Coturnix japonica: one gene and its partners. The protein of the gene in region 1 purifies or fractionates together with the protein of each later gene. This does not show direct contact. Links are inferred from orthologs where the notes say so. Each region holds a gene or a part of one and is shown in the gene's direction. Other genes may lie near its edges.

Region 1 (4,392 bases):
CAGTGCCCCCCCCCAGCGCCTCCCAGTTCCCCCCCAGTTCCACCCACTCCTTCCCAGTGTCCACCAGTCCCTTCAATCCCGATTGACCCCCCAGCACCCCCGATCCCCCCCCACTGCACCCCATTCCCTCCCCTATAGCCCCCTATTGCCCCCCAGTCCCTCCCAGTGTCCTCAATCCCCATTCCAATCCCTCCCAGTATCCCTTTTAGTGCCCATCCTGGTACCCCCCATTCCCTCCCATTCATTCCCCCCCCTCACACAGAGCATGCGCCTGAAGCTGATCGCCAGTAACAGCACCATGGAGCGGCGCTTCAGCCCCTGGATCGGGGGCTCCATTTTGGCCTCCCTTGTGAGTTGGGGGCGATACAAACAACGTGGGGGGGGGGCAGCGATTTGTGCCCCCCCATCTCCCCCCCCCCGACCCCTCCCCATGTTCCCAGGGCACGTTCCAGCAGATGTGGATCTCCAAGCAGGAATACGAGGAGGGGGGCAAGCAGTGCGTGGAGCGGAAATGCCCCTGAGCCCATTAACCCTCGTTAACACGGAGCGAAAGAATGAGGAGAAAATAAACGGAACCGGAGCAAAAAGAGCCGATAAATGGAACCCCCCCCCCCAGGCCTGGAGCTGGGCGCAGGCCTCGATAGGCCGCACTGCTGTGAATGGGGGCTCAGCGCCTTCACAGCGGCACAGGGAGGGGCCTGGAGCCGCCTGGGCGGTTGGGGCCGGGGTTGTGGCCGCTGTTATTTCGGTGACATCTTTTTTTTTTACCAAAATCGCCCGTTTTTCCCTCAAAACGCGGCCTCGCGCCTCCGCTTTCCCTCCCGCCGCGGGAGCGCGCTCAGTGCGCACGCGCTTCCCCCTCAGCGCTCCGCGCCACATGTGCGCATGCACGACGCACAGAGGGCGCCCCACTGCGCATGCGCGGCGCGCCGAGGCTGTGCGCATGCGTCACGTGCGCGCGCCGACGGGTGACGCGTGCGCCGTGTGCACCCGGCGTCTGCGCACGCGCATTGGCGAAAGGCAGCCGCTCTGCCGCCCGTGCGTCCCGCGCTGCGCCGTCACCGTCCGGGATAACGGGGAGCAGCGTCGGCCGCGGCCAGGAACGGCCGGGAGCCCAGCTGCCGCTGTAGCTTTTCGTTCAGGCACCGCCGTGGACAGCCCAGAACCGCAAGGCCCCCGCGAGGCCCCCGACGCGCTGTGCAGCCATTGGTCGCTACCCCCCTCTTCCGCGCGCCACTTCCTCCCATTGGCCGCCGCCCACTCCGCCTCCTACCGATTGGCGCAGCCCTCCGTCCGCGCGCCACACGCCATTGGCCGTCTATCGGTTGGGGGGCGGGGCCCGTCGTGGCCCCGCCCCTCGGCTATATAAGGAGGCGCAGGGTGCGACTCGCCTGCCATCGCGGGAGGGAGGTGGCGCGCGCCGCACCGTCCGGCTCCGGCTCGTTGGACTCGGCGGTGGGCGGAGCGGCCGGGCCATGATCGAGATGGCGGCTGAACCCGACGCGTTCCGGGCCCCTCCGCCGCCTTTAAGGACCGGAGAACCACCGGGGGGGGGCGGGCCTGCACCGGGCGGCACCGACACCACCGGGCCCCAGCGGCGGAGGGGACGGGAGGAAACGGACGGAGCGGGGGAGGCCCCGAGACCCAGGAACGGCTTCAGAGCGACCGGAGGAGGCGGCGGGGGGGGCGGAGGGGGGGGAAAACGGCGGAGCAGCTGCACCGGATCCAAACAACCGCCGTGGAAACGGCGCCGGAGAGCGACGTCGGAATGTGACCCCGCGCTGCCGTCCGAGTTCCTGCTGGGGGGGAACATCTTCGACCCGCTGAACCTCAACAGTCTCCTGGACGAGGAGGTGAGCCGCACGCTGAACGCACGCACCCCGCAGTCATCACCGCTACCGGCACGAGGACGGGACCCCGTGGAGATCCTCATCCCGCGGGACATCACCGACCCGCTCAGCCTCAACGCGCCCGGGGGGGATGACGGGCTCCGTCTGGCATCACCTGCCAAAGCAACGCGACGTCGGCATCGCCACCGGGGTCAGCAACGGGGGAACAGCACCAACAGCACCAACAATAGTATGGAGCCAGAGAGCAGCACGGAGCACGGGAACACGGCCAGCAGCAGCACCAACACGGCTGGAAACAGCAGCACAACGTGCTCCAACAGCCGGCACCGTAAGAGGAGAAGGACTTGTAGTAAATCAGAGGCCGCCCGATCTACGGCGTCACCGGAGAAAGGGAAAGGGGGAAACAACGGCCCTAAAACCCCCACGACGGCCCCACGGCGCCGCAAGAGCCAGAAGTTCCAATATGGGAATTACTGTAAATATTACGGCTATCGCAACCCGGATTGCGAGGACGGGAGGTTGAAAGCCATGAAGGCCGAGTGGTTCACCGGGAAGGAGGTGCTGGATGTGGGGTGTAACGTGGGGCACGTCACGCTCAGCATCGCCAAGAGGTGGGGGCCCAGCAGAGTGGTGGGGCTGGACATTGACGGGGCCTTGATCCGCTCGGCCCGGCAGAACATCAGGCATTATCTGTCCGAAGAAATGGCCGCCGTGGAGGGAGGGGGGAGGAAGGGGTTCCCTGCGGCGCTGCTGGCCAGCAGGGGACCCATCGCTGCCCCACGGCTGCCCCCCGACGGGCCCGGAGCCTCCGACTTCCCCCATAACGTCGTGTTTGTCACGGTGAGGGGGCGGGGCTAAAGGGAGGGGGCGGGGCTAAAGGGAGGGGGCGTGGTTTGGGGGTGGAGCCAATCGGAGAGGCGGGGCTAATGGGCAGGGGCGGGGTTTGGGGCGGAGCCAATTAGAGAGGCGGGGCTAAAGGGAGGGGGCGTGGTTTGGAGGCGGGGCTAAACGGAGGGAGCCTGGTTTGGGGCGGGGCTAAAGGGAGGGGGCGTGGTTTGGGGCGGAGCCAATTAGAGAGGCGGGGCTAAAGGGGGGCATGGTTTAGAGGCGGGGCTAAGGGGAAAGGGCGTGGTTTGGGGCGGGGCTAACGGAAGGGGTGTGGTTGGGGGCGTGGTTAAGGAAAGGGGGCGGGGTGTTGGGTTGGGGCGGGGCTAAAGGAAGGAAGCGTGGTTAAAAGAGTGACATAGAGTGAATGGGCGGGGCTAAGTTTGGGGGCGGGGCTAAAGGCACAGCAGGTTTAAGGGGCGTGGTTAAGGGCGGGGCTAAAGGGGGCGTGGTTGGGGGGTGGGGCTTTACAAGGGGTTTGATTTTAATATGGGGTGTGGCTAAATGAAAGGGGTGGGGCTAAAGGAGGGGGTGTGGTTTGGGTTGGGGTCAATAAATGGGAAGGTGACACAGTTGGGGTGGGGGTAAATAGGGGGTGTGGCTAAAGGGGTGGTGCCGATGGAAGGGGGTGGTGCTTTGAAGGGGCTGTGATTAGGATGTACATGAAGGGGTGGGGCCACTCCCCCTTTTCTAAGTTCAATCCCCATCGTTTTTGAAGATCTCCTTTAATCTGTTATTTAACCCCCCCTACCCAGTCTCTTCCCCATTGCCATGAGACCCCTCCTAACCTCTCTCCCACCCATCCACCCCATAGGGCAACTACGTCCCCGAACGAGAGGAGGCGGTGTGGGCCCAGCGCCCCGAATTCGACGTCCTGCTGGTTCTGTCCCTGACCAAATGGGTGCAGCTCAACTGGGGGGACGAGGGGCTCAAAAGGTTGTTCCGTCGGGCCTACAGACACCTCCGGCCTGGGGGGCTGCTGCTGCTGGAGCCACAGCCATGGGCTTCCTACCGCAAGAGGAAGGGGCTGACGGTGAGATGAATGGGGTTATGGGGCACCAATGGGGGACTGGGGGGGATATGGGGGTTGGGGGTGCGGGATGGGGGTCTGCTCTTGTCTGTGGGATGGGTCCAGCTGTGAGCCTTTGGTTGTGGGACCCCTATAACCCTCCCCAAAGTCCCCAGCTGGACTGTGGGAACCTCCCTCAGAGCCTTCAGCTCTTTAAGATCTTCCCACCCATATCCTCCCAACCCCCTCATTGGAGCCCTATAACCCTCCCCCCAAATCCCCTTAACTCACCAAGACAACCCCCCCCAATCCTCCACTGCAGCCCCATAATCCCCCAAACCCCGCTCCAAAAGCCCCAGATCCCTCTCCTAATTCCTTCCAACACCCCATTGCCCCCACAGAACCCCTTATAACCTCCCCTCAGCTCATAGTTGGGTTATGGGGCCTTTAGTTGTGTGGCCCCCTCCCCATTTTAACCCTCTCCACCTCACAGGAGACAACGTACCGGAACTACCACCGCATCCGCCTCCGCCCGGAGCAGTTTCCCTCCTATTTGACCTCCCCCGAGGTCGGCTTTGCCAGCTACGAACTGCTGGGGACCCCTCAGCACAGCGCCAAAGGTGGGGGGGGGGGACACAGCGTTTATGG
Region 2 (4,382 bases), on another chromosome or scaffold:
GATTCACTGAATCTGACGTAGCTGCAAATGGGACTGCGTATACGTTCATTAATATGAGTCATTTGTTAGCAGCTGTTGGATAACTTCACACTACTTTCTGGACTCCATTGTGTATGTGCTACTTCGGTGTAAGAACCATCTGATTCCATCTACAAGCTCACACCGGGGTTTTCTCACGGCTGTTACCCTGAGTGAAGCAGAAGTAGCAAAAAGCAATTAGCCTGCATCAGGTGCAGGTCCACATGTTTGTGAATGTGGATTTTGTTTTAGAATCTGTCATCCTTTGACTAGAGAGAACCTTTCTACTGTAAATACACTAAGTGCTCCAAATTAAAGTTCATATTTTTAACTCGGCCTCCATTCTGCTTTTGTCTGTATCAGCTTCACTTCTTCGACTGTGGGTGGGGGCAGAGGGTGGAGAATGACTTCCAGAAGTGGGAAGGGTGGGCTGGAAGTGAGCTGGGATGTTGCTCTGGTCAAAAAGGTGTGTGTTAAAAAGAATAAACATTAGTCCCTTAGGACACAGGCAGCTGTGAGGGCAGGACCTAGGACTGAAAGCAAATCCAGCTGCAAGTCATTTCACACAGTTGAGAGTCCAATGGGATGCCTACGTGTTGAATTCTGAAACAACACGCAAGCATTTGGAGGTTTAACAAGGATAAAAATATATAAAAGAATAATAATAATTACACTTTAATGTTACTCCTGCTGAAGTATGTTTTTACCCGGGTTATCCAAGGAAGCAACACACCGTACTCAGTAAGTTCCTCCTGTCACATGGAAATGAAATACCATTGCATTTCACTGGCCAATGAAATGCTTAAAAAATCAGTGCATAGAAACTGAACGGCAAAGTTTTGTTACCATTAAGCCAGGTATTCTTTATTAGTGGCGCTGGGGATATTTCCACCATAAGTGCTTCAAAGATTACATGATTCAGAGTCCATTATATTTCCACAGATAGTACATATTCATCAATTACACATGAGACAATTAACACATACACACGCCTATCTCAGGTAGTGATTTATGAGGTTTCCAGTCTTCTATTCCATGGTCTCTTCTATCCCACGGTCTCTTCTCCCGCCTGGTGACCGTTCAGCATCACGACACCCAACCCACAGCCTTTTGCTTCATGCAGCGCTTTTCCTCGCTCGCCCTCTAGACGTGTTTAGAAGTAACTTACAGTAAATACTTCCAATCAGAAGCAGCTCTGATCTTCGACAGCCACCTTAAGGAAGGTGGGATTTTTCCTCCGTGTTTCCCCTCCCGGTCCCCGTCCCCTCACAGCTCCCCCTTCCCGCCGCCATTGGTAGGTCCCGGCTGCCCGCGGTGCGTGCCGGGAAGCGTTGCGGTGGGGCCCCGCTGAGGTGCGGGCGGCTCTTTGCTCCCGCCATGGCGCTCAACAAGTCGATGCACTCACGCAACCGCTACAAGGACAAGCCGCCCGACTTCGCCTACCTGGCCGGCAAGTACCCCGAGTTCCGGCAGCACGTACACACCACACTGGCCGGCAGGGTGAGGTAGGAGGCCGGGGCGGAGGGGGGGCGGGTTTCCGAGCCGGGCCCCAAGGTAACGCCTGTTTGTGTTTCAGCCTGAACTTCAAGGACCCCGAGGCGGTGAGAGCCCTGACGTGTACCCTTCTGAAGGAGGATTTTGGGCTCACCATTGACATCCCCCTGGAAAGGCTCATCCCGACCGTCCCCTTGAGGCTGAACTACATCCACTGGGTGGAGGATCTCATTGGCCATCAGGGTGCTGACAAGGGAGTGCTCAGGCGGGGCATTGACATAGGTACTTACCGCGGGCTGGTTATAGGGCCAAGTGTTTAATTAGCCCGTTACTTACAGCTAATGAACTCAACTCAGTAGTTTTGAGGAAAGAAAATGTGTGGGAAGTTAGTTGTATTTTTTTCTCTGTCTTCTAAGTTACTGTCTTCTGAGTTATGTTAGTGTTTTAGATGTATGCATGAGAGCTTGTGAGTTGCATAGTAACTCTTTCTTGGGATCCTTTGGTAAATTACTTCTTCTGTGGCTTGTGTTTTAACCCAGCAAGCAGCTGAACACCGTGCAGCCCTTTGCTCACTCCCCCTTGTTGTGGAATGGGGAGGAGAATTGGGGGATAAAAGGCAGAACTCAGGCTGAGATAAAAAGTGTTCACTAGGCCAGAAAAGGAAAATAGAACAGTAATTACAGTAACAATTAAATGTGCATATACACGCACATGCAAAGCAAGTAAGACCGAGTTCTTTCTCTGTATAAAACATTGTCATATGTGGGAAAATTGCTGAAGAAGTTGATAATTCAGTAGCAAACGTATGCTAGCAAGGAGTGTGGTGCTCCCTATTCATAGTGCATCTTTCACAGTACCATATTTTAAATTACTTCTTAAAATGATTTGCTAAAGAACTGAATAATGGATGATTGTTGGGCAGTGATTTCTTGAGATTAATTCTTTTTGTTTAAAGTGCATGACTGCTGTGTATAACGCTAGAGACTTATTTTGCTTTCTTCATATGCTTTTCACACTGCAGGGACAGGGGCATCATGTATATACCCATTACTTGGATCAACGTTGAATGGCTGGTATTTTCTTGCAACAGAAGTGGATGATATGTGCTTCAATTATGCCAAGAAGAACGTGGAACAGAATAACTTGTCTGATCTTATAAAAGGTATGATATAATAGGCAATTTAGTAGCATACAGATGTTGTGACCTGTTTTTTTTTTGCCATATTCAAGTGGCATATCAGAACCAGTACTCCTGCTAATACGTGCTCCGTTGTTTTTACTGGCAGAGTGTTTGCTATGGTCCATGTGCCCTTAAAGCAAAAAGTTACAGCTTGTACAGAATGGCAACTATGGAAAAAGAGCTACTCATCTGAAAGTTAAACTGAATCCTAGGGAGCTTTTCTCTCTCCATGTTTCATTCTGTTACCGAAGCATTTCTTATAGTCCTGCTGTTTCTGCTGCTGGGAGACATGGAGTATTCCCCTCAAATAATGTGTGTGACACTAATACGTATACTTTGTACAGAGTCAATTCTTACTCTTCATTTCTGAATGATGTCTTAACAGTGCTTGTGGTAGTAGCAGAGTGTGAGGCTTTATCTGTGGAGGAGCTTGGAAAAATGTCAGTGAGGGTTTTATAGAGTTTTGGAGTATCATTTTTTCCCCTGTCCCTTTCAGTCTTGAAGATCCAGATCTTGATGTGGAGAACAATGTCTTTATTCTCTAACTGCTGCCATCATAGGATTCTTAGTGCTGTGGTGCTGTTACACTTTACAGGAAATACCTCCAGCATAGGAAGATGTCTCAGGTGTAGCTGTAGTGCCTACAGTGATAAGCTAAATGATAAGTAAATGACTGACTGCTGTTGGGCAGAGCAGCAGGTCAGGGAGTGCCACTATGGGTACTTGTAGCCGGCAGCTTCCTGGAATTGATCCACCCTGTGACTTCTTAATTCCCGGGTCTGAAGCGTTTATCTGGAGCTGATTATGCTGCTGTAACCAGTTACTATTTTAGCAACACCCATTTTGGAGTTTGATTGTAAGTAGTAGCAAAAAATTACCTGATGTTCTGAGTTGGCGCGTATATTTTATTGGAATAGGATGATTGCCAAAATTTGTTCTTCCTTGCATTTTTTTTTTAATCAATACCCCATATGTAACAGTAGGATAAGCCACTTTCCTTTTGTAAATTTGAACTATGAAAGCTTTTACATTCATAGTTGCAGCAGAGAACTTAGTGCAGTTAATTGTAGATTTAAAGACACGTGTCTTCCACTACTACTGTGGATATACTTATAAGCTGTTTGTATGCTACTCCTTAACTTTTATTTGCATGCTGTGTTATGCTTTTTGTTGTTGAATATGTTGCCAAGGAAGTTTTATATTGTTTCAAGAAATGCAGAAGTGAAAATCACATGTTTGATAAAATATGACACTCCTTACTGACTGAATCTGTCTTTTCTGTTAGTGGTTAAGGTACCACAGAAGACTCTTCTTATGGATGCACTGAAAGAAGAATCTGAGATAGTTTATGACTTCTGCATGTGCAACCCTCCTTTTTTTGCCAACCAATTGGAAGCAAAGGTAAGCTAGCAAACTAAAAGTTGCATGTACTTATTCCAGTATTCACTGAGTGGGAGGGTATCAACAATTAAATATCTTCACTTTGGGAAAATTCAGTGGAAAATCCCCCAATGATTACAAAATAGCATTGAAGTTTTCTTTTTCTGCACCCCTCTGCTCCAAAACAAATATTGAAAAGCTTGAAACCGCTATCCTGTCTGAAGATTTTATCCTATCACAAGATTTTGTTGTCTTTGAGAATTGCTTTAGAAAGTAGATTGCTACTAAATCAGAAATTCAGTGCTCTTTA
Region 3 (4,582 bases), on another chromosome or scaffold:
TCTGTTAATGACAAAACTGCTTCAGGTTAAACATCCCCTCTGCATCCGAGCATCCTCTGCATCTGAGGCTGCTGCAGGGTGGGAAAGCTGGGGGCCTTCCCCATTTCCCCCGCATTCCACCACAATGGAAAATCCCAGCTTGGCCGGGGCCGTGGGAGATGGGTTTTGCTCAGCTCCCGGGGGAGCTCAGGGGTCGGCCTCCCTCCGGCGCCGGCATCAGCATGATGGAGGCAGAGGAATGCGGGGAGCAGCAGTGAAGGCAATGTCCTGCTCAGTGCAGCGCTGGCGGCGTGCAGCCCCATGGAGCCTCCTCCGAGGGCTTTGGGGAAAACCCGAGGGCTGTGAGAAAGAGCTCAGCTCCCTCCTGGTGGGCAGCAGCACTTCCTCTGTGCTCAGCTCCCACCGCTTCGGTCCCGAGCGCGGCTCCATCAGTGCAGATTTATCCCCAGCATCCACCCCATCCCTCTGCTGCAGGAGCACACAGAGGGCTCCTGGACACCACCAGCCCCAGCCATGCAGAGGGGTAAATGCTCCCTGAAAGCTGTGATTTGGGGGATCAGAGCAATGGTTCACCCCTGTCACATGCTGGCAACCAGTGCAAGCAGACTGCTCCCAGTCCAACCCCAGCACCAGAGCCATCAGCACCAGGGTTTGCTCCAGCTGTGGGGATGGAAGCCCCCAGAGCCCCCAGTTTCCTAACAAAACTGAAGACTTCTTGCTAATGAGAGGTGACCACGCTCACACTCACACACCCCCTTCCCACCCACGCCAGCCCAGGTGAGCACCCAGCACCCACCCCCTCCATCCCGATACGACTTACTGAATTTCTTGAAGCCCCCTCGTTTCTGGCCCTCAGCCATGGCTGTGCTGGGTGGAGGCTGCAGGGACAAGTTTATAAACTTGAAGCCTGTCCCTGCCTGCTCCTCCCTTCCTGTCCCCCCTCCGCCTCTCGCTTTGCTCTCTCAATCACTCAGCGCTTCCTCCTCGCTGCTGCCATCTGCTCTTATGGCAGCTGCTGTCCCCGCTATCCCCTGCGGTCCCATCCCTTATTGTCCCTGTGCTCCCATCCCTTATTGTCCCTTCAGTCCCATCCCCTGTTGTCCCTGCACTCCCATCCCTTGTGATCCCTGCACTCCCATCCCATATTGTCCCTGCAGTCCCATCCCTTGCTGTCCCTGTGCTCCCATCCCTTGTGATCCTTGCAGTCCCATCCCTTGTTGTCCCTACAGTCCCCTCCTGGCTGCTCAGGTGCCATTAATGGGATTAATGTGCTTTAGGGCCGCCCTTGAATGGCTGGGTGCCGGCATGGGGCAGGCTGGCAGCTCCATGGCTGGAGGTCCCCATATGGGGCTCAGCTCCATGGTGGAGCCCCAAGGCCCCACTGCACCATGTGCTGGTGGAGCTGTGTTGTCTGTGGGGTCATTTCTATGGGGGATGCAGTGGCCCAGAGCTGGTGGGCAGCCCCAGGGCCTTGTCCTATGGAGTGTCCCTGTATGGCCACGGCCCTTCCTATGTGGGTGACACTGTGAGGGAGGGAACGCGGGCACACAGCTATAGACAGCCATAAAGCCGCAGGGTGATACGGGTTTATCCGGGGTGACAACATGGCGGCCTAAGGTGGACTACAAATCCCAGCAGGCAGCGCGCCGGCGCGCCGGAAATAGCGTAAGGCGAGAGGGCGGAAGTGAAGCCGTCGGCCGGCATGGCCAAGCAGTACGACATGGTGGAGTGCCCGTTCTGCGATGAGGTGTCCAAGTACGAGAAGCTCGCCAAGATCGGGCAGGGCACGTTCGGGTGAGCGCTGCGGGCCTCGGCTCTGCTCCCAGCCCGGGCATGGCTCCTATGGGGCCGATTATCTGCTGTTATTCAGCGTCATGGGGAACAGGCCGCGGCCTGACCCGGGGCCTTTGTGCTGTGGGGGCTGCGGGCCTCGGCCTCCTCCTTATGGGGCTCATGGGGCCTTGTTGTTGTTACATGGGTCTCTCCGTGTTGTTATATGGGTCCTTGTTGTTGTTACGTGGGTCCTTGTTGTTACGTGGGTCTCTCCGTGTTGTTATATGGGTCCTTGTTGTTACATGGGTCTCTTCTTGTTGTTACAGGGAGGTGTTCAAAGCCAAACACCGGCAGACGGGGAAAAAGGTGGCGCTGAAGAAGGTGCTGATGGAGAACGAGAAGGAGGGGGTAGGTGTGAGCTGTGCTGTGCTATGGAGGGGATGGGGTGGGGGGTGGGCTATGGAACATCAGTGTGTATTAACTTTAATGGTGTTTACTGCTGTAACGTGCCAGGTCTTGAGTAACAGCACACAGCACATGGGGGTGGGGTGGTTGTGCTGTGGGTCAATTGGGGCTTTGCCATGTGCTGTGCTCATAGATGGGAAAGGAGGGCAGGTGTCCATGTCACACAAACACCTCCACCTTGTGGCAGAATCCTAAGGGTGGCCAATGAGTTTTGTCGCCCCTGTAATGTTTTGTAGTTTCAATTACTCTTAAATGAGCTGTTGCAGTGCTACTCAAGCAGGTGTCCTGTGCTGCAGCAGTCCAATCTCTCCTGTTCTATAAGCAGATGTGAGCTGCACTCCTAACCTGTGTCTTCTCCTTTCCAGTTCCCCATCACAGCTCTGCGAGAGATTAAAATCCTCCAGCTGCTGAAGCATGAGAATGTGGTGAACCTCATAGAAATCTGTAGGACCAAAGGTAGCTGCCGGGGTCTCATTTGTGCTGTGCTGAGGGGGTGTCTGTTTTCAGCCTTTGTTCTTGGCTCAGCAGGCTGCTGTGTTGCACTGGGGGTGGATCCTCCAGCTGAGCATGTGTTTAATCTGGGGTGACCACACGCTCATCTGTGGAAACTCATTTTGAATGAGTGCTACTGTGCTGCAGCTTGGCTGGAAAAAGCTGTTGTCAGTGCTGCTGGCACATGCCTGTGCTGTCTCAGTGACTGCTGTCTGTGTGCTGGCTGAATGGCTTTAAATGAACCTGCAGCAGGAGAGAATGTGAAACAGAACGTTTTCTGCCTGGTGGTGGTTTTGCAGCTTTATGATGCTGATGCCATTGGGAGCAGGAGCCGTGTTTCTGCAGCTCGTGGAGCTTTGTGCTGGTGACAGCTCCAGCTGGAGACTTGCTCAGCCTCTCCTGTGCATGACAGAACCCCCCAGGCTTTGAGGGCTGGATTGGAAGTGCTGCCACTTCACAGTGAGCAATTCAGTTGCTCTGTGCTGAGCTGCTGTTCCATCTCATCGCTGCAGGCAGTCCCTGGGGGAGGCAGCACGTCTCTGCTGTGTGACTGATGTGCTTAATGCACCTGGCCAGGCTCAGTTTCCAGGGAAATCATTTTAAAGCATTTCCTCATTTTTATATATCCTTCTCTTATATGGATTTGTACTGCAAAAGAGGTTTGGAAAGCGACAGATGATATTAAAGCCTGCCATGCTGTAGTCAGTTCTTTTTGGTTAAATACAATTGATAATAGCACCTTTCTGCTGCTGTTTTTTACACTCAACTGGTAGGAATCTCAGGCCTAGGTCTGGGAACTTGGTGTTGCTCCATAGAATGTAGGTAACTGTCGGTTTTTGAACCAGTAGGTAGGAGGAAAAACACTGAGTTAATGTTTAATTCTTGGATTGATTAAACCAGCTGTGATGACTGCATGCTGCTGGCACGTCTCAGGTCAATATTTTTGTAGCTGTGTCAGATTGTTTGGGTCTTGTTTAAATTCTACTTTTCTACCTTGACCTCAGATTCAAGTGAAAAACAGAAACATTTCATTGACTGTTCTCAGACTTTAAGCTTTTCTCTTTTTATGTTGGAAGAGGGGTTGTGAGGACGGCACCACTGTCATGTGCAATCTAGAAAGCATCCTCCAGGCTGCATTTACTGTGCAGGCTGAGCTTAGCCCACATTTTCTGGTTCTTGCTGCTGATCAGCAGGTTTTGCTGTGCACAGCTGATCAAAATCAGCCTTTTGTTTTGGTGTTTTGCACGTGTGCTCTAGGAGCAAGATTGAAATTGATTGCTTCATTTGAGGTTTCCTGTCATTGACCATAAATTGCAATTGAAGTTGGGGTTTTAAATCATATTGATCTGCATCAGTCTGTTCTCATAGACACCATTTGAGGTTGCAGTAAACTTCACTTTCTGATGTTGCTTTAGAAATATTTGCTGTATTCCTGTGAGTCTGTCTTTGCCTGTTCCTCCTCTAATGCTGATGCAATGATTGTGCTCGGCTGTCAGCTGTGTGTGTGCACCCACGGGCTGCAGTTTGTAGGCACAAAACCCCACAGCTGTTAATACACGCAGCACAACACACAAATGAAGCTTTCAAAGACTTTTTTGCTCTTGCTTTGCCTTTCTCATGATGTTCACTACCACTCTGATCCTCATCCACTGTTGCTTGTTTTGCTGTTTTAATACCTCTTTTTGAAGGCTCTTGAGGCATCTGGAGTCCCTGTTTTGATGTTCCTCTGCCGTGAGGTTTCACCTAGTGAGTGAGGATGGATGGAGGTCAGGAGGAACTAAATCCCTTGCTGACTGTTCCTCTTTGCCTCTCCTGTAGCCTCTCCATACAACCGCTGCAAGGGCAGTATCTA
Region 4 (4,529 bases), on another chromosome or scaffold:
TTTGATGCTTTACTTACTAGAGCAATGCAGTTTGACCGGAGGAAGGCAAAGTTCTTTTGCAATGTCTGTGTTCTTGATTTTCAATGCTTCATCAATCTGAAATGTATGGGTAGGGTACAGTCATCAGTCAGGCATACACATGTACATATGATGCCCACACACCACGCAGGTATTTGATACAGGTGTGCTTCAAAGCACTGGAACCAACCAAAGTCACGCTCTGAGAAGGCAGTAAAAGCTGCTGATAGTGTTCTACCATAAGAAAGGCCTTTCAATAATACCTGTTTTATTCTGCTCCTGCCAAGCAACAAATCTGCAACCTACTACAGGGAACCTCCTTTGGCAGAGGAGCTGGACTAGGTGATACTCAGAGGTCCATTTCAACCCCTGATTCTATGAAATATAAGGAATGTCTCAAAGTGTGCAGTGCTTGTTAATAAACCAGAGCATTATTTTACTGCTGACCAACTGCAGGGACTGTTCCAGGTTTGTTCTGCTGTAATATAGAAACAACCTGCTTGTCACAATGCCAAGCACACGGAGATCAGCCAATGGAAGACATTCCACTATACAAGTGCTTTCTTTATCTATTTTCGATTGCTGTGTAGCACCCAAAGCTTCTTCACAGCTTATTGGAGACTTCCAGAAAAGGCAAATATTGCTTTAAAAGTCAGGAAAGATGAAACTGCATTCTGAGCTTCTATGTGAGTGTAACACCTGGAGAGCACCTCTCTAGACCCCTGTTTCCTTCCCTGATCCCAGCAGTGGGTGTGAATATGTACCTGCTCCCCACTGTGCCCCTTAAGCCAAGCCCTTACCGTCTTCCCTTTCACCCACTCTGTTGCCAAGGAGCTGGAAGCGATGGCAGAACCACAACCGAAGGTTTTGAAGCGAGCATCAACAATGCGGCCGTTCTCATCCACTTCCACCTGTGGGAGTTATCAGAGGGGCGCTCAGTTCCACGTAGGAACCACACACAAAGGGACAGCGATAGGACAGCGAGTTTAAGGCTGGGGGTTTATCGGATTTTAGGGCCTGCAGAGGGACTTTAAGGGACAATGAGTTTAAGGCTGGGGGTCTATTGGATTTTAGGATCTGCAGAGGGGCGTAAAGGGACAGCGAGTTTAAGGCTGGGGGTCTATTGGATTTTAGGGCCTGCAGAGGGGCTTAAAGGGGGTGTGACGGAGGAATCCTATGTCACAGCCATATGGTGGCAGACACTGATGGTTGTGTCCTTACAGGGCACCCCGTGCTCCCCTCACCTGCAGCTTCATAACGTCTCCACAGGCCGGGGCTCCCACCAGGCCCGTACCCACGTTCTTTGCGTTGCGATCGAGAGAGCCCACGTTCCGCGGGTTCTCGTAGTGATCCACCACCTGCGAGAACAACGTGTCACTAACAACCCCCAACGGGCACTATGGGCTCCCCACAGCCCTACCCGGCCCCTCTCACCTTCTTGTGGTAGCCCGCCCCCCCCACCGCCGTCGCCCCCCGCCCGGGCCGCAGCAGCGCCGCCCCCGCCGCCCTCAGCGCCGCCATCTTGAGTCTGCCCGCACCTGGCAGCGGCGCTCTGCCCCAACCCTCCCGAAGGACCCCTGGAGGCCGAGGCCCTGAGGTGTCCGTGGCGCTGCCTCTGCAGCAGACTAAATTATAAGGAGTAACGGGCCGAGCTGCTCGGCTTTTCGTGGCAGTTGGACGCGGAGAAGAGCAGAACCTTGTCGGGAGAGTTTATCGTCCTTTCTTTCACCGCTTTTGGCTGGGGGGAATGTACAATATTGAGACAGGCGCGCAGTAGCCAACCCCATCGGCTGGCTGAGAGCGGCCGGCAGCGAGGCGAGCTGCAACAAGATGGCGGCGGCGGGAGCCGAGGCGGCGGTGGAGGAGGAGAAGCGTGTGGTGGAGGGAGACCCCGAGTCGGGGGGGGATTCGGAGGATGAAGGCGACTCGGATTCATCAGGAGACGGCGAGGATGAGGAGAAGGAGAACGAGGCGGAGATCCAGCGGCTGGAGGAGCAGGTGGGGCCCGGCTGTACCGTGCTTTGGTTATGGAGATCTGGAAACGCCTCCGGGCGTGATGCCTTTTAATTCGCTTTTTATTCCTCGCTTCAGGGCGAGAGAGACTCAGGGAGCAGCCCTGGTATGTTGAAAGTGAACTCAGATGGTGGTTTCCTTAGTGATCTTGAAGGAATTAAAACGCGTTTGCTGAGGAGGGCTCACTGGGTGTTAGCGCTGTGTCTGTACTTGGGGGCTCTCGGGCCTTAGGGCTGTGAGTTCAGTCTTCTGCAGAACTTTAAAGCCCAGCTTTAGTAACAGGGATCTTCTATGAAGGGCTGCAGAGGTGGTCGGGGCCTGCAGCTTCTATTTGAGGAGCCCTGAGGCTGCCCTTGAGGCAGGAGGGAAGGCTGAGGGAGCAGCACTTGTCAGGGTAGAAATCGTGAAGATGGGGCCAGGTTCTTTTCAGCCATGCCCAGCTACACGATAAGGGGCAGTGGGCACAAACTGGAACCCAGGAAGTTCTATCTGAACGTGAGAAATAACTTCTTCGCTGTGAAGTTGACAGAGCCCTGACACAAGCTGCCCAGGGAGGTGGTGGAGTTTCTTTCTTTAGAGATGCTCAGGATCCACTGGGATGCTTTCTAATGCTACCTGCTGGGGGGAGGGTTGGACTGAGGGATCCTCAGAGGACTTTGCCTTTTCCTGTCACTTACAGTTCTGTGATTCTGTGTAACTGAGCAGGGAGGTGAATGTCTGTCTGTACTTGGCCCTGGTGAAGGCAAGGCATCTTAAGTGCTGCGTTTAATTTACTCACTACAGAAGAAAGGCATCAAGGCCCTGGAGCATGTCTGGAGTAGGGCAGCAGAGCTGTAAAGGGTTTGGAGTACGAGCTATATGGGGAGAGGTTGAGGGAGCTGGGGATCACAGAATTGTAGGATGGTTCTCCACTACTCCCTGAAAAGAGGTTGTAGCAGGGTGGGAGTTGCTCTCTTCTCCCATATAACAGCGATGGGACAAGAGGCAAAGGCCTTAAGTTATACCAGGGGAGGTTCTTGTTGAGTATTGGGAATGACTGCTTCTTCAAAAGAGCAGTCAGGAATTGAGACAAGCTGTCCAGGGAGGTGGTGGGATCACCATCCCTGGAGGTGTTCAAGAACTGCAGGGATGTGACACATAGAAAACAGTGTGTAAAGTTCTGTTCTGCTGAGTATTTGCTGACTTCTGCAAGCCTTTAAAAACTTCCTTTATTTTCTTTAAAGCTTTCCATCAATGCTTTTGACTACAATTGCCACTTGGATCTGATAAAGCTGCTCCGCCAAGAGGGAGAGCTGGTGAAGCTCAGAAGAGCTCGGCAGAAGATGAGTGAACTCTTCCCACTTACTGAAGGTACAGAGCTGCTTCTCCTTGCAGCTGGTAATACTGATGAAGCATCATCAGTGTGAAATACTCTTTGTGCCAGGTTTCAGCCATGCTGTTCCAGCCTAAAGGATCAGATTGAAGCTCTGAACTCAACTTGAAGCAGGCCTTTCTTTTTATTTATAGTTAACACTGTAACAATATAAATACCTGGCAGTGGGCTTTTAGCTTTGGCAAGTGAAGGTTTCCTCTTAGGCATGTGGGAACCTGCAGCCTCTAAAGCCATCTGCTGTTTCTTGTAAAAAAGAAGGAAACTGTGCCACTCAATGCCTCTTTGCTGGCCTATGTGCATTCTCTGTGCATGGTGCTGACCAATTGCTGCTCACAGCTTCATCTCTCTTTAAATAGAAGCATACTTGCTTAGGACTAGGTTGGAGACATCAGTACCAAACTTTTCATTTAAACTAATTGTGTGTAGATGCGGGGACTTAAAATTGCTCTTTTTCTCCCCATTTTCTCTATCCCCATTTTTAAGCCTGTTATTAAAAAATAACCAAAAATGTAAAGGGAAAAGTTTTTTTCCAAGCGTTGGTGACTGTAAACTTCTTGGTTTCAGAAATCTGGCTGGACTGGTTGAAGGATGAGATAAAAATGGCTTCTGAGATCTCAGAGCGAGAGAAAGTTTATGAGCTGTTTGAGAGAGCCGTGAAGGATTACATCTGTAAGTTCTTAATGTGTGGGAGTTAAAAAAACATTTAAAGGTCTATTATACTGAATAGTAAAGACAATTTCTATGCCTTTGGATAAGTATTTGAGATGCCTTTGTATTTTCGAGGACATCAGCTCTCCTGTTTCTCATAACTTTGTTTAGGTCCTGAAATTTGGCTGGAATATGCCCAGTATTCAATCGGTGGCATTGGTCAGGAAGGAGGAATTGAGAAAGTTCGCTCAATATTTGAGAGAGCATTGACAGCGGTTGGGCTGCACGTGACAAAAGGAACAGCTCTGTGGGAAGCGTACCGTGAGTTTGAGAATGCCATCCTGGAGACAGCACAGGTAAGGCTGGTCTGATGGGCTGCTGTCAGTTAGAGGCTGTGGTGGAGCTTCCGAAGTCACCTTATGCTGCTTATCAGTCTCCTTGGAGAAATGAGGCTGTGGTGTCACTCAGTTGTTTCTTT
Region 5 (2,447 bases), on another chromosome or scaffold:
CTTCAGAGAATTTCAAGATCTTAAACAATAGCTCTGCTCTTCCACAAACAGCTGTTTCTTATCCTGTCCTTAGGGTCAGAAACTTGAGCAATCCAGCAAAGAAATTCAAAATCGAGGCGAATGCTGGCCAGCTGTACTTAACAGGAGTGGTGGTTCTACACAAAGATGTCAACGTGGTCGTGGTAGAAGGAGGTGAGGATTGTTAAGGCGGGTTTTGGTCACAGCATGATGTTCATAGGTTGCTTTTGCAAAGATCACCTGTGTGTGAAAATAACAGCCAGAGGATTACGGAAGAAAAAGGAAGTAAGGAGGCACTTTGAAACTCCCTTCATTTTAAGTACAGGGGAAAGCACTGCAAGCCAGATAGAAATAAACAGAACGTTTGATGTTGATGGAAAATGCATTTGATTTAAATCATTGCATCCGTTCAGAGTCCAGTGCAGTTACTCACACTTTGGCTGGAAGGGCCTGGCTGTGCTGTACTTGTGTCTGATCAGCTGAGCATGCTCTGAAAGGCTTACTTGTGTGTTTGTTGTTCTTCTGCCTTTTAAAGTCTCCTAAAAACATGAGGGTTAAGGACCTTTGTGAATGTAAGTCTCAATTCTCTCCCCAGGCCCGAAAGCACAGAAGAAATTCAAACGTCTTATGCTTCATCGAATAAAATGGGATGAACAAACATCAAACACCAAGGGAGAAGGTAAGCATTAAACCCTGTGGGGAAGGAGGTGGTAACAGATGATGTTGTAGCCATTGGGTTGGTTGAGCAGTGGTGGTTCTGCAGGACTAGAATTTGTTGTTGCTGTTTCTATTCCAGATGATGACGAGTCTGATGAGGAGTCTGTTAAGAAAACAAACAAATGCTCTCTGGTTTGGGAGGTGAGTGGGCAGAGTTCTGGTTTGCTGGGAGTTCTGGGGGCTTAGGAAAGGCACAGGTTAACCCTGCCTGATAGAATGGCTGCTTTGTATGGAAGGGAAGTCTACTGATCTGAATTGAACTGTACAGTTCTTAAGCTATAGCAGAATTACACAGTGTGGGGTAGATACTCCAAACCTCTTGCAGCAGTTGGGTTAATTGCTTGTTGACCTGTAAAAAACATTTATTCTCAGTTTTATTTCAGTTACTTTCTCCCCATAGACTTGTGGAAATGAGTCCCCTTTTCTCTTCCAGGGCACGGCAAAGGATCGAAGCTTTGGCGAAATGAAATTTAAGCAGTGCCCCACTGAAAACATGGCACGGGAGCACTTTAAAAAGCACGGAGCAGAGCACTACTGGGACCTGGCTCTGAGTGAATCCGTGCTGGAATCCACAGACTGAGGGTGATGCTGCCCCCGGCACCCCCCCCCCTCCCTTTCTTCGTTTGAGAACGAATACCTCGTGGGAACTTGAACGACCCCCTTCCTCCCCCTCCGGTCTCAGTACAGCGAAGTATGATTAAAAGAAATATTTTTTAAAGCAAATCACTTAACAATTTGTTTTTCTGGATACGTTCAGCTCCTGGAGGAGGTGTGAACCTGTTGGCTGCCCCCCCCCAAGCCCACACTGTAGGGAATCTGACCTGGGAATGTGACCTTCTATGGAAAGAATCGTTATGGAGCTGAAGGGGAGAAGTTGTTTTCTATGCTCTTTGTGTCCCTTCAGGTACGAAGGTCTCAGGGCTGTGCTGGGAGGTGTGGGGGGGCACAGGGGGTCTGTGTGGGGCAGCACAGGGGACAGGGGAGGAGCACTTGGTGTTTGTAAAGCAGAGTAGGAGACGGGGACTTAGCCCACATCCTATATTTACATAATAAACATGTTGGTTTCTTTTTGTAAAAGCTGAAGCCGCCTTCGGTTTGTGTGTGTTTATGGCAGCGTTTGGAACAGCACCCAATGGGGGGGTTTGGTGGTTTAATGGGAGTTTGGTGCTTTAAGCGAGGCTTGATCTCATTGCAGTGCTCCCTGCGAAGGGCAGCTCAGCCTCTCCCAGCTTTCTGCTCAGCTCAGCGGGCCGGGTCGGACATTATGGCCCCGTTACTTCAAGCCTCATCTTGCTTCTCTACAGCGCAGGCGGCCGCCATCTTGGCCGCGGGGCAGGCCGGGAGCGAAGCGCAATGCTTGTGGAGGGGGGTGATGCTCAATGCGCATGCGCGACGGCAGGGAGGACGGCTGGGTGGAGCGGCGCATGCGCATTGCTCAGGAGGGCGGGCGGCGGCGCATGCGCAGTGCAGAGGCGGCTGTGGTGGGGGGGGTGCCGCCGCCGAGGCCGTGTGAGGGAAGGCCTGGCACAAATGGCGGCGGGGGGGCGGGCGCTGCGCGCGGAGGGGGCCGGCGAGTGACCGAGCCACCACCGCCCCGGGGTGCTGCTGGTTGGGGGGGGGGGGGGACGAAGCGGAGACGGCTCCGTGCGGCTGCCGAACCGACCTCGGAACGCGGCCCGGCCTCTCGGTGTGGGGCCGCCTCGTTCTCCACA
Region 6 (3,330 bases), on another chromosome or scaffold:
GAATGGTTGACCAGCAGTTGACCAATGGTTGACCAACAGTTGACCGATGGCTGACCAACAGTTGACCATTGATTGCCCACAGGCTGACCATGAGCCAGCAGTGCATCCTGGTGGCCATGAAGACCAGTTGGACCCTGGGGTCCTTTAAAAAGAGCGTGGCCAGTAGGGTGAGGGAGGTGCTCCTGCTCTGCCCTGAGGCCGCATCTGCAGCACTGGGTCCAGCTGTGGCTGCTCAGCTCCAGGCAGGGAGCTGATGTAGGGACATAGAGATGGTGGAGGCCTGGAGGAGCATCCCCTGATGGGAGAAGGCTGAGAGCCCCGAGGGCTGTTCACCTGCAGAGGCTGAGAGGGGATCCAGTCAATGCTTATCACCATGGGGGAGCCCCAGAGGTCCCTTCCAACCCCTGTGGTTCTATCACTCTCCTGATCTATGCCCCTTTATCCCCTTGCAGGACCGCCTGAGCCGCTGCACGCTGCACTGCTCTGACAGAGCCAAGGATGCCCTGGAGGCGGGCGGTGGGGAGACAAGGGCACGCTCCCAGCTCGACGCCTGCGTTGCTGCCTGTGGGGACGAGCACCTACGCCTGGTGCCAGGCATGGCCAAGAGGATGCGGGATGGCTTGGCGGCCCTACAGCACTAGCGGGTGCTGTTGGGGTGGGGGAAGGTGGTATTAAAGGCAAGGAGCTGCACTCGTGGTGCTCGAGGGGTGCTGGGGGTTTGGGGTGTGGGGGTGCAAGGTGTGGGGTGGTGGCTGTGTAATGTATGGGGTGGGTGTGTGCAAAGTATGGGGTGATGGCTGTGCAGTGTATAGGGGGTGGGATGAGCCATGCAAATGTGCAGTGTATAGATAGGGTACAGGTGTGCAAAGTGTGGGGTGATGGCTGCGTAAGGTGTGTGCAGGTGTGCAAGGTGTGGGGTAGTGCTTCTGCAGGGTGTGGGGCACTGTGTGCAAAGGGTGCTGGTGTGTAAAGGGTGCAGTGTGCAAAGGGTGCAGTGTGCAAAGGGTGCAGTGTGCAAATGTTGCAGGGTGTGCAAAGGGTGCAGGTGTGCAAAGGGTGCAGGTGTGCAAAGGTGCAGTGTGCAAAGGGTGCAGGTGTGCAAAGGGTGCAGGTGTGCAAATGGTGCAGGGTGTGCAAAGGGTGCAGGGTGTGCAAAGGGTGCAGGGTGTGCAAAGGTGCAGTGTGCAAAGGTGCAGTGTGCAAAGGGTGCAGTGTGCAAATGGTGCAGGGTGTGCAAATGGTGCAGGGTGTGCAAAGGGTGCAGGGTGTGCAAAGGGTGCAGTGTGCAAAGGGTGCACACTGCCAGCTGTGAGCCGATGGCTGTGCAAGGTGTGCACGGTGAGCCGTGCAGGGCTTGCAATACGTGTATCAGTGCCTTTGTGTGTGTGCAATGCCGTGCATACAGTGGGTGTGCAATGCGCGGTGCATGCAATGCAGCAGAGCTGCAGGTCTCCATGCACGTGCTGCATGGGGGCCGCTCCAAACGCGCACGCGCGCCGCGTCCGAGCGCTCTGATTGGCTGCCGGCGAGATGCGAAGGTTGGCGGGAAAAGGGGGCGGGGCTTTGGGCGTAGCGTGCGACGTGATGACGTCATTACGCGGCGCGAGCGGCAGCGGCGCTGAGGAGACGCCATGAGCAAAGCGCACCCACCCGAGCTGAAGAAGTGAGAGCTGGGCCAACATGGGGATGAGGGGGGATGAGGGGGGATAAGGGAGGACTGAAGGGGATGAGGGGGGCCCAGAGGGTCGGGAGGGGCCGTGGGGTCCGGTTCGGGTTCGGTCTGGGTCCGGTTGGGCCCGCAATGATGGCGGTCCCGACCCCACACTGATGCGGCCTGCTCTGTTTGCGCTCTCGTTGCAGGTTCATGGACAAGAAGCTGTCGTGTGAGTCCCGCTGTTATAACGGGGTTGTGCCATGAGCCCACATTCACAAAGCCCCCCCCCCCCCCCCATCCCTCCCTTCCCTTTTAACCCCCCCCTCCCCTTGTTTCTGAATGAGCCGGTTTCTCGTAGTGAAGTTAAATGGCGGCCGCCACGTGCAGGGGATCCTACGGGGCTTCGACCCCTTCATGAACCTGGTGATCGATGAGTGCGTGGAGATGGCGCCTGGAGGGCAGCAGAACAACATCGGGATGGTGGTGAGTGCTGGGGGGGATGGCAGCCCCCAGGCCCACTTTGTGCCTTGGGCTGGGGGCTTTGGGCTTTGGGCTTTGGGCTGGGGGCTTCCTTTCAGTTCAGGCCTCCCAGTGCCCATCCGTGGCCTTGGGCACCTCTAGGAATGGGGAACAGCCTCAGGAGGGCAGAGCAGGATGGGACAGAGCCCTCCGTGTCTGCTGCAGTAACAGAGGGGTGGCAGCCCAGCTGGCTGTGAGGTCACAAGAATACATTGCTGTCTTATATCAAGCTCTCATCCACCTTTTCTATCAACCACCCTCCTGCAGGAGCCTTTTCCAGCCGGCTGACTGCTGCCATGAGCCCCTGCAGTTCTCTCATTCACTTCAGCTCTTGGAGCTGCACATGCCATGCAGCTTTCTAGGAGGAAAAGTCAAAGGGAAAGAAAACCTTCTGTGCTGTGGGCATAACGTGCTTCATCTCACCTCCTGCTGACAACTTCTCTTTGTAGGTAATACGAGGAAACAGCATCATTATGCTGGAAGCTTTGGAACGAGTATAGTGGCAGAGGAACCCTGTAGTGACCCGACCCCGTTGTGTTTTGTTTACTCACCTGAACCTAATGAAGCAACCACAAGTGTAAGCTTATTTTTTGTTAAATAAATTTTGTACTGGTTGGTGTAACCCGTGTGAGCTGTGCTTGGTGGAACTGAAGCCTGGGGCAGTTAATCTTGTGAGTGCAGCAGTGTGTCAGTGGCAGCTTTAAAGCTGGAGGATGGCTTTCAGGCAGCTTTATTTCTTTGAGTGGGTGTTCAAATGATACTGGCTATATCTTTAAACCCCCCCCCATAAATAACAGGCTGTGGCACTTCTATTCCTAGCATTGCTCTGTAAAGAGTGAAGGGGACTGAAATATCTGTCCTGCTCAAGTGTTTGCCTGCAACTTTGTGCTGGTCTCCACCTCTGTGCTGAGGCAAAAGTGGTTTTGGTTATTCTCATTGCCCCCAAGCAGACAGAACAAAGCATTGACCCCAGGGTACCAGCAAGCTTCTAAGAGTTGAATCGTGTTCCAGCACGTACGGACTCCTGTGATGCTGCTAATCTCAGTGCAAGTCCTGCAATTTAGCTTTAATCAAGTGCATTCATCTTTTCTAGCACAGCAAGAGTGAGGCTACACTAGTGGAGGCTTGTTAGTGGGAGTTTGAGCTAAGCAAGCACA
Region 7 (4,213 bases), on another chromosome or scaffold:
GCATGGGTTTGTTCATTTAAAAATGGAAGGGAATGAAAACAAAAATGAGGAAATAAACAAAGCATCATCTCTGCATCAGTAACAACAGATGTAAAGGTTGTAAGTATTTGACAACTGAACCGTGTGTGTGCCTGTAAAGCGAGCAGTCTTTGCCATGAATAATTACAGGCTCGTTGAACAACAACGTTTCAGTGCAGACACAGGTCCTGGTTCTAACAGGTTGTTTGAATGAAGATGACTGAACCTAAAAACAATGACCCATCTTTCCTAACAGCTTGTATGAATGTCTTCATTGAATCATTTGTCTTTACTGAGACCTCATAATGCACTGGGATTGGAAGTGCTTGTGTTTCACTACGCTAACACCCAATGATTTGGTTGGCCAGTGAAATGAGACCAAGCAGCTTCATTCTTCTCATTAATACAATCCCCCTTGAAATCTCTACAGGAAGACCATATATCTCACAGCAATGTTTCTGTTCATGCTCGATGCCATAAAACCTCCCTAGTCTTGTGTAGAAATAAATGAAACGCTATCTTACAATTACGATATTGATTTGAAAAGGCTCAGATATTTGCTTCCCATGCAGACTGCCTTCCTCAGACAGATCCTGCCATCAGCCAGGCAGTACTTCTGTACAGCTGTGTGTCACAGACAAACTAAACTGGCCTGCCAGCTTAACGTAACCCCTTTATGTGAACATTGTAGGGCAATGGACCCTACACAACAACCACAACATCCAACCCACAACAACCACAACATCCAACCCACAACAACCACAACATCCAACCCACAGTGAGGTACAGAGCGCATCATGATGAACAACAGCTAAGCTTACCTGCACTTTTCCTCTTCGTGATCATCCCCTTTATTTTCAGGGTCTCTCTCATTTTCTTTCACTCGCCCTTTTACCCCTTTTTGTTTTGAAGGCTTCTCTGCTAACTTAGCAATTCCAGCATCACTGTCTTCCTCCTTCTTCCTAGCTGCAACTCCGGCTCTGCTCTTCTTTACACTGTGTTTTTCTTCAACAAAATCACCTACATCGAAAAGAAAGAAATTTTCTTCATGGATATAACCTCATCCCTATGGATACATAGCAATATCTCTGCAGGCTCCAGCAGAGCTGCACTGAACAACTCCAGCCCCGGCCCATCATGGGGGGCTGCTGAGCTCCATGCTGACTGCCTCCCTCCCTCAAAGCAGAGCAGCCCCAGAAGCCGAGCCTCCCACACTCACCCTCCTCACGTTCCTCCGCACCATCCCGCCGTACTCCCACCCCTCCAGGCCGCCTTTTGCCGGCAGACACCCGCTGAACCGACGCTTTGCGCTTCCTCGCCATAGCGGCGAGCATTACCCCGCCCCTTCAGAGCGGGGGGAAGAGGCCGGGCCATAAAGTATCACGAGAGAGAGCGAGAAGCGGTTTGAAAGATGGCGGACGAGGTGGATCAGGTGAATGGCTCTTTACTTTTCTTAGGGGGGAGCGGTGTTTCTGCGGCCACCCCGGCTGCCAAGTGAGGTGGTGAGGGCCTGAAGAGAGAGCTGGTGGGTTGGTGGCACATCCGTGTGCCTTCCCTTTGCCATATGCCGTGCTGCCGTGTTGGTTTGAGCCATGCAGCCTGTCTGCTTCTGTGTGGATACTGGGACTTGAGGGAGCGTTTCAGAATGCAAACTGAGGAGTGGAGGAGTTCGTATTCACTGCTCCTGCGTGAATAACTGCTTGTTTCGGTGTTGTTTTCAGCAACAGACAACGAATACCGTCGAGGAGCCCCTCGACCTCATCAGGCTCAGTCTGGATGAGAGGATCTATGTGAAGATGAGGAATGACAGAGAGCTCAGAGGCAGGCTGCATGTGAGTGCCAATTCCAAGCAGGCAGCAGGCTGTGCTGTTATGTGCAACTATTTGTTATGTTACTGTAATGTGCTCAACAGCAGCGCTTGGTTTGTGCAGTGTTCTGCCAGAGATTCAAAAGGTGCATTTTGTTTTTCCGTGTCTGTTGTCTTTTAAATGATTCCAAGTGATTCGTTCTCTTGATTTTTGCTTTTATTCCCATGTCTGTGGACTAAGTAATAATGCAGGCATCATCTCATAAAGGACTCTCGACTCTGTTAAGATGGAAATAAGTATATCAAGCAACTGTCTTGTAGAGCAAACCCAAGGACTGCTGGGATGTGTACTCAGCTGGGTTCTCTCCATACTTGATTTGTTCTTTGTTTTCTTTTGAGAGCGATGTCTCTTAGTGAGACAAACTTTTGTTTTCTGTTTGGTTGTGTTATCCTTCTGGAATGTGGTGCTGTGCTGAGGAAGGGAACCAGTTTCCCATGTGGTAACTGGGCCTCAAATACATTTGAGAACAAAAAGGTGAGGACAGATCTGTGATGCACTGGTATAATTCCTAAGTTCCCTTTGTAGGGTGTTTGGAACAAGTGCTTAATTAAAATTTATGTATTGTTGTTTGAGTTACAGCTCTCATAGCTATAGATAATCCAATCCCAGAAATCTGGGCTGATAGCAAATAATATTTAGTTGGATTAATGCTAACGACAAGAACAAGTGTGTCCACCTCTGAGAGTTTGTGCATGAGCTTCAGAAGGAGAGTTTCAGTGAGTATAAGAGCCTTCCTTATGCTGTGGAGTACTGATGTTGGCCTTTATAGTTGAAGTTACAGCTGATACATCATGTTCACACATGGAACATCTTGACCCAAATCAGGTTAAAATAATTTTGTTTGAGTGTCTTGCTAGAATTATGGATTTAATGAGCTTGTGCTTGAATTTTGGAAGAAGTAATGAACTTTGTTCCTACAGGCATATGATCAGCACTTAAATATGATTCTGGGCGATGTGGAAGAAACTGTAACAACAATAGAGATTGACGAAGAAACATACGAAGAGATTTATAAAGTAAGGACTTCAGTGTATTTACCTCCATAGAAAACTTCTTGCAATCTAGATTGTCATGTTGTCAAAATAATGTGTTGATAACTGCACCTTTTGGACTAGGATCTAGCAGGTGTTTTAGGCAAATTGTTATGAAAGCACAAAGGACATCCAGGTGCTTGTTGATTTTGATATCTTCAGCAGGACGCGAAGTTGCATGTTTGAGCTGATGTTTGTTGGTGTTTTTTTAGGATTGAATTTTGTCACATGCTTAGTAGATGTGTTCTGTATACTTCTCTTTTGTAAATGTAATCTTTTCTTTGCTTCTTCATAGTCTACCAAAAGGAATATTCCGATGCTCTTTGTCAGAGGTGACGGCGTTGTGCTTGTAGCTCCCCCGCTGAGGGTTGGCTGAAGCAACCAAGGATTGAACCTTCTTGGAAGGTTTCAGGCTCTTGGACGATTTGTTTTGATCATGTCTCAGAATTGCATACACTTTTTAATAGAACGTTTTTGCCTATTTTTTGTGGAAGAGGAATGAGTTTTTCTTGCAGAAAGTACCTGTCAGCTGAAGCAGTGTGAAAACCTCATTTTCCCCTGAATTAATGTAACTGCTGTAAATGAGCTGTGTGTGACATAAGTAAAAGCACCCTGTTTTTTCAATCTTGGGAATAGCAGTGTCTTTTTTTGTTTGTTTTAAATAAATTTGGTTTACCTTTCAGATTTGATGTGTTATGTTTTTGTTGAAAAGGTGATTTTAATGAACTTCTCTAGTGCTAATGCTGTATTAAGTTGTGATAATGTGGCTTTGCTTCCTGAGAAAGCAGTGACTTGTTTGGTGTTTTGATTTTTGTCCATACTGAAGTTTTCCAGATTGATGTTTTGGAGGAGGGCAACACTGTGTTGGTCTATGGTGTACTAATCTATGGTTTTATGTAAACATATCCTTGTAGGAGAGAAATTCTGTGTCCTGCTTAAAATGCATTGATAGAATAGAATTTTTACAGCTTTTTCAGATGCTTCTCTTGCAGCTTTGTTAGCAGAGCAAAGCTTAGCAATACCATCAGTAGGAAACAAATTTAGTAGCCTGATTTATGCATTCATTTGCCACCATTTGTAGCCATTTTCAGTTCTTGAACACATTAAATTCTGTAGAAAACCAAAGATGCTTCCTGGTTATCAGTGGGTGCACAAGAGCCTTGTACACTGCTTTTTTTAATACATAGTTTCTCAGGCCTTCCTGATTGCACTTTATTCTCATGGTGGGGCTGGAAGGGGAATGAATGTTTTACTTGGAATGGCTATGGAATGTTTTACGAGTATATTTGAAAGGCA

The links.
Region 2: the proteins of MEPCE (region 1) and METTL16 purify together in Homo sapiens (affinity purification with mass spectrometry; 3 studies listed by BioGRID). This does not show direct contact. The link is inferred for Coturnix japonica from reciprocal best matches to the Homo sapiens genes MEPCE and METTL16.
Region 3: the proteins of MEPCE (region 1) and CDK9 purify together in Homo sapiens (affinity purification with mass spectrometry; 10 studies listed by BioGRID and IntAct, counting the BioPlex papers as one, with this or other methods). This does not show direct contact. The link is inferred for Coturnix japonica from reciprocal best matches to the Homo sapiens genes MEPCE and CDK9.
Region 4: the proteins of MEPCE (region 1) and SART3 purify together in Homo sapiens (affinity purification with mass spectrometry; 6 studies listed by BioGRID and IntAct, counting the BioPlex papers as one, with this or other methods). This does not show direct contact. The link is inferred for Coturnix japonica from reciprocal best matches to the Homo sapiens genes MEPCE and SART3.
Region 5: the proteins of MEPCE (region 1) and PRPF3 purify together in Homo sapiens (affinity purification with mass spectrometry; 4 studies listed by BioGRID and IntAct, counting the BioPlex papers as one, with this or other methods). This does not show direct contact. The link is inferred for Coturnix japonica from reciprocal best matches to the Homo sapiens genes MEPCE and PRPF3.
Region 6: the proteins of MEPCE (region 1) and SNRPG purify together in Homo sapiens (affinity purification with mass spectrometry; 3 studies listed by BioGRID and IntAct, counting the BioPlex papers as one, with this or other methods). This does not show direct contact. The link is inferred for Coturnix japonica from reciprocal best matches to the Homo sapiens genes MEPCE and SNRPG.
Region 7: the proteins of MEPCE (region 1) and LSM3 purify together in Homo sapiens (affinity purification with mass spectrometry; 3 studies listed by BioGRID and IntAct, with this or other methods). This does not show direct contact. The link is inferred for Coturnix japonica from reciprocal best matches to the Homo sapiens genes MEPCE and LSM3.

The regions. Positions count from the first base shown.
Region 1 is NW_015439878.1:132,602-136,993, forward strand, and holds the start of MEPCE (7SK snRNA methylphosphate capping enzyme), read left to right. Parts: upstream 1-1,375; 5' UTR 1,376-1,475; coding exon 1,476-2,690; intron 2,691-3,549; coding exon 3,550-3,768; intron 3,769-4,237; coding exon 4,238-4,364; intron 4,365-4,392. Other genes in the region: ACTL6B (actin-like protein 6B), read left to right, coding at 263-349, 441-521. UniProt on the Homo sapiens protein: S-adenosyl-L-methionine-dependent methyltransferase that adds a methylphosphate cap at the 5'-end of 7SK snRNA (7SK RNA), leading to stabilize it.
Region 2 is NC_029516.1:71,191,526-71,195,907, forward strand, and holds the start of METTL16 (RNA N6-adenosine-methyltransferase METTL16), read left to right. Parts: upstream 1-1,298; 5' UTR 1,299-1,395; coding exon 1,396-1,523; intron 1,524-1,594; coding exon 1,595-1,794; intron 1,795-2,533; coding exon 2,534-2,674; intron 2,675-3,977; coding exon 3,978-4,093; intron 4,094-4,382. UniProt on the Homo sapiens protein: RNA N6-methyltransferase that methylates adenosine residues at the N(6) position of a subset of RNAs and is involved in S-adenosyl-L-methionine homeostasis by regulating expression of MAT2A transcripts.
Region 3 is NC_029532.1:3,652,188-3,656,769, reverse strand, and holds the start of CDK9 (cyclin-dependent kinase 9), read left to right. Parts: upstream 1-1,659; 5' UTR 1,660-1,702; coding exon 1,703-1,794; intron 1,795-2,099; coding exon 2,100-2,181; intron 2,182-2,603; coding exon 2,604-2,694; intron 2,695-4,548; coding exon 4,549-4,582. Other genes in the region: SH2D3C (SH2 domain-containing protein 3C), read right to left, coding at 821-860. UniProt on the Homo sapiens protein: Protein kinase involved in the regulation of transcription.
Region 4 is NC_029530.1:5,666,831-5,671,359, reverse strand, and holds the start of SART3 (squamous cell carcinoma antigen recognized by T-cells 3), read left to right. Parts: upstream 1-1,593; 5' UTR 1,594-1,848; coding exon 1,849-2,016; intron 2,017-3,254; coding exon 3,255-3,381; intron 3,382-3,967; coding exon 3,968-4,072; intron 4,073-4,222; coding exon 4,223-4,407; intron 4,408-4,529. Other genes in the region: ISCU (iron-sulfur cluster assembly enzyme ISCU, mitochondrial), read right to left, coding at 18-96, 819-929, 1,263-1,376, 1,453-1,539. UniProt on the Homo sapiens protein: U6 snRNP-binding protein that functions as a recycling factor of the splicing machinery. Promotes the initial reassembly of U4 and U6 snRNPs following their ejection from the spliceosome during its maturation.
Region 5 is NC_029540.1:1,882,390-1,884,836, reverse strand, and holds the end of PRPF3 (U4/U6 small nuclear ribonucleoprotein Prp3), read left to right. Parts: intron 1-73; coding exon 74-192; intron 193-613; coding exon 614-697; intron 698-814; coding exon 815-876; intron 877-1,168; coding exon 1,169-1,315; 3' UTR 1,316-1,814; downstream 1,815-2,447. UniProt on the Homo sapiens protein: Plays a role in pre-mRNA splicing as component of the U4/U6-U5 tri-snRNP complex that is involved in spliceosome assembly, and as component of the precatalytic spliceosome (spliceosome B complex).
Region 6 is NC_029537.1:791,279-794,608, forward strand, and holds SNRPG (small nuclear ribonucleoprotein G), read left to right. Parts: upstream 1-1,544; 5' UTR 1,545-1,631; coding exon 1,632-1,663; intron 1,664-1,860; coding exon 1,861-1,883; intron 1,884-2,012; coding exon 2,013-2,137; intron 2,138-2,622; coding exon 2,623-2,673; 3' UTR 2,674-2,795; downstream 2,796-3,330. Other genes in the region: protein FAM136A, read left to right, coding at 453-641. UniProt on the Homo sapiens protein: Plays a role in pre-mRNA splicing as a core component of the spliceosomal U1, U2, U4 and U5 small nuclear ribonucleoproteins (snRNPs), the building blocks of the spliceosome.
Region 7 is NC_029527.1:8,367,302-8,371,514, forward strand, and holds LSM3 (U6 snRNA-associated Sm-like protein LSm3), read left to right. Parts: upstream 1-1,352; 5' UTR 1,353-1,429; coding exon 1,430-1,450; intron 1,451-1,739; coding exon 1,740-1,850; intron 1,851-2,806; coding exon 2,807-2,902; intron 2,903-3,212; coding exon 3,213-3,293; 3' UTR 3,294-3,601; downstream 3,602-4,213. Other genes in the region: XPC (DNA repair protein complementing XP-C cells), read right to left, coding at 840-1,038, 1,238-1,352. UniProt on the Homo sapiens protein: Plays a role in pre-mRNA splicing as component of the U4/U6-U5 tri-snRNP complex that is involved in spliceosome assembly, and as component of the precatalytic spliceosome (spliceosome B complex).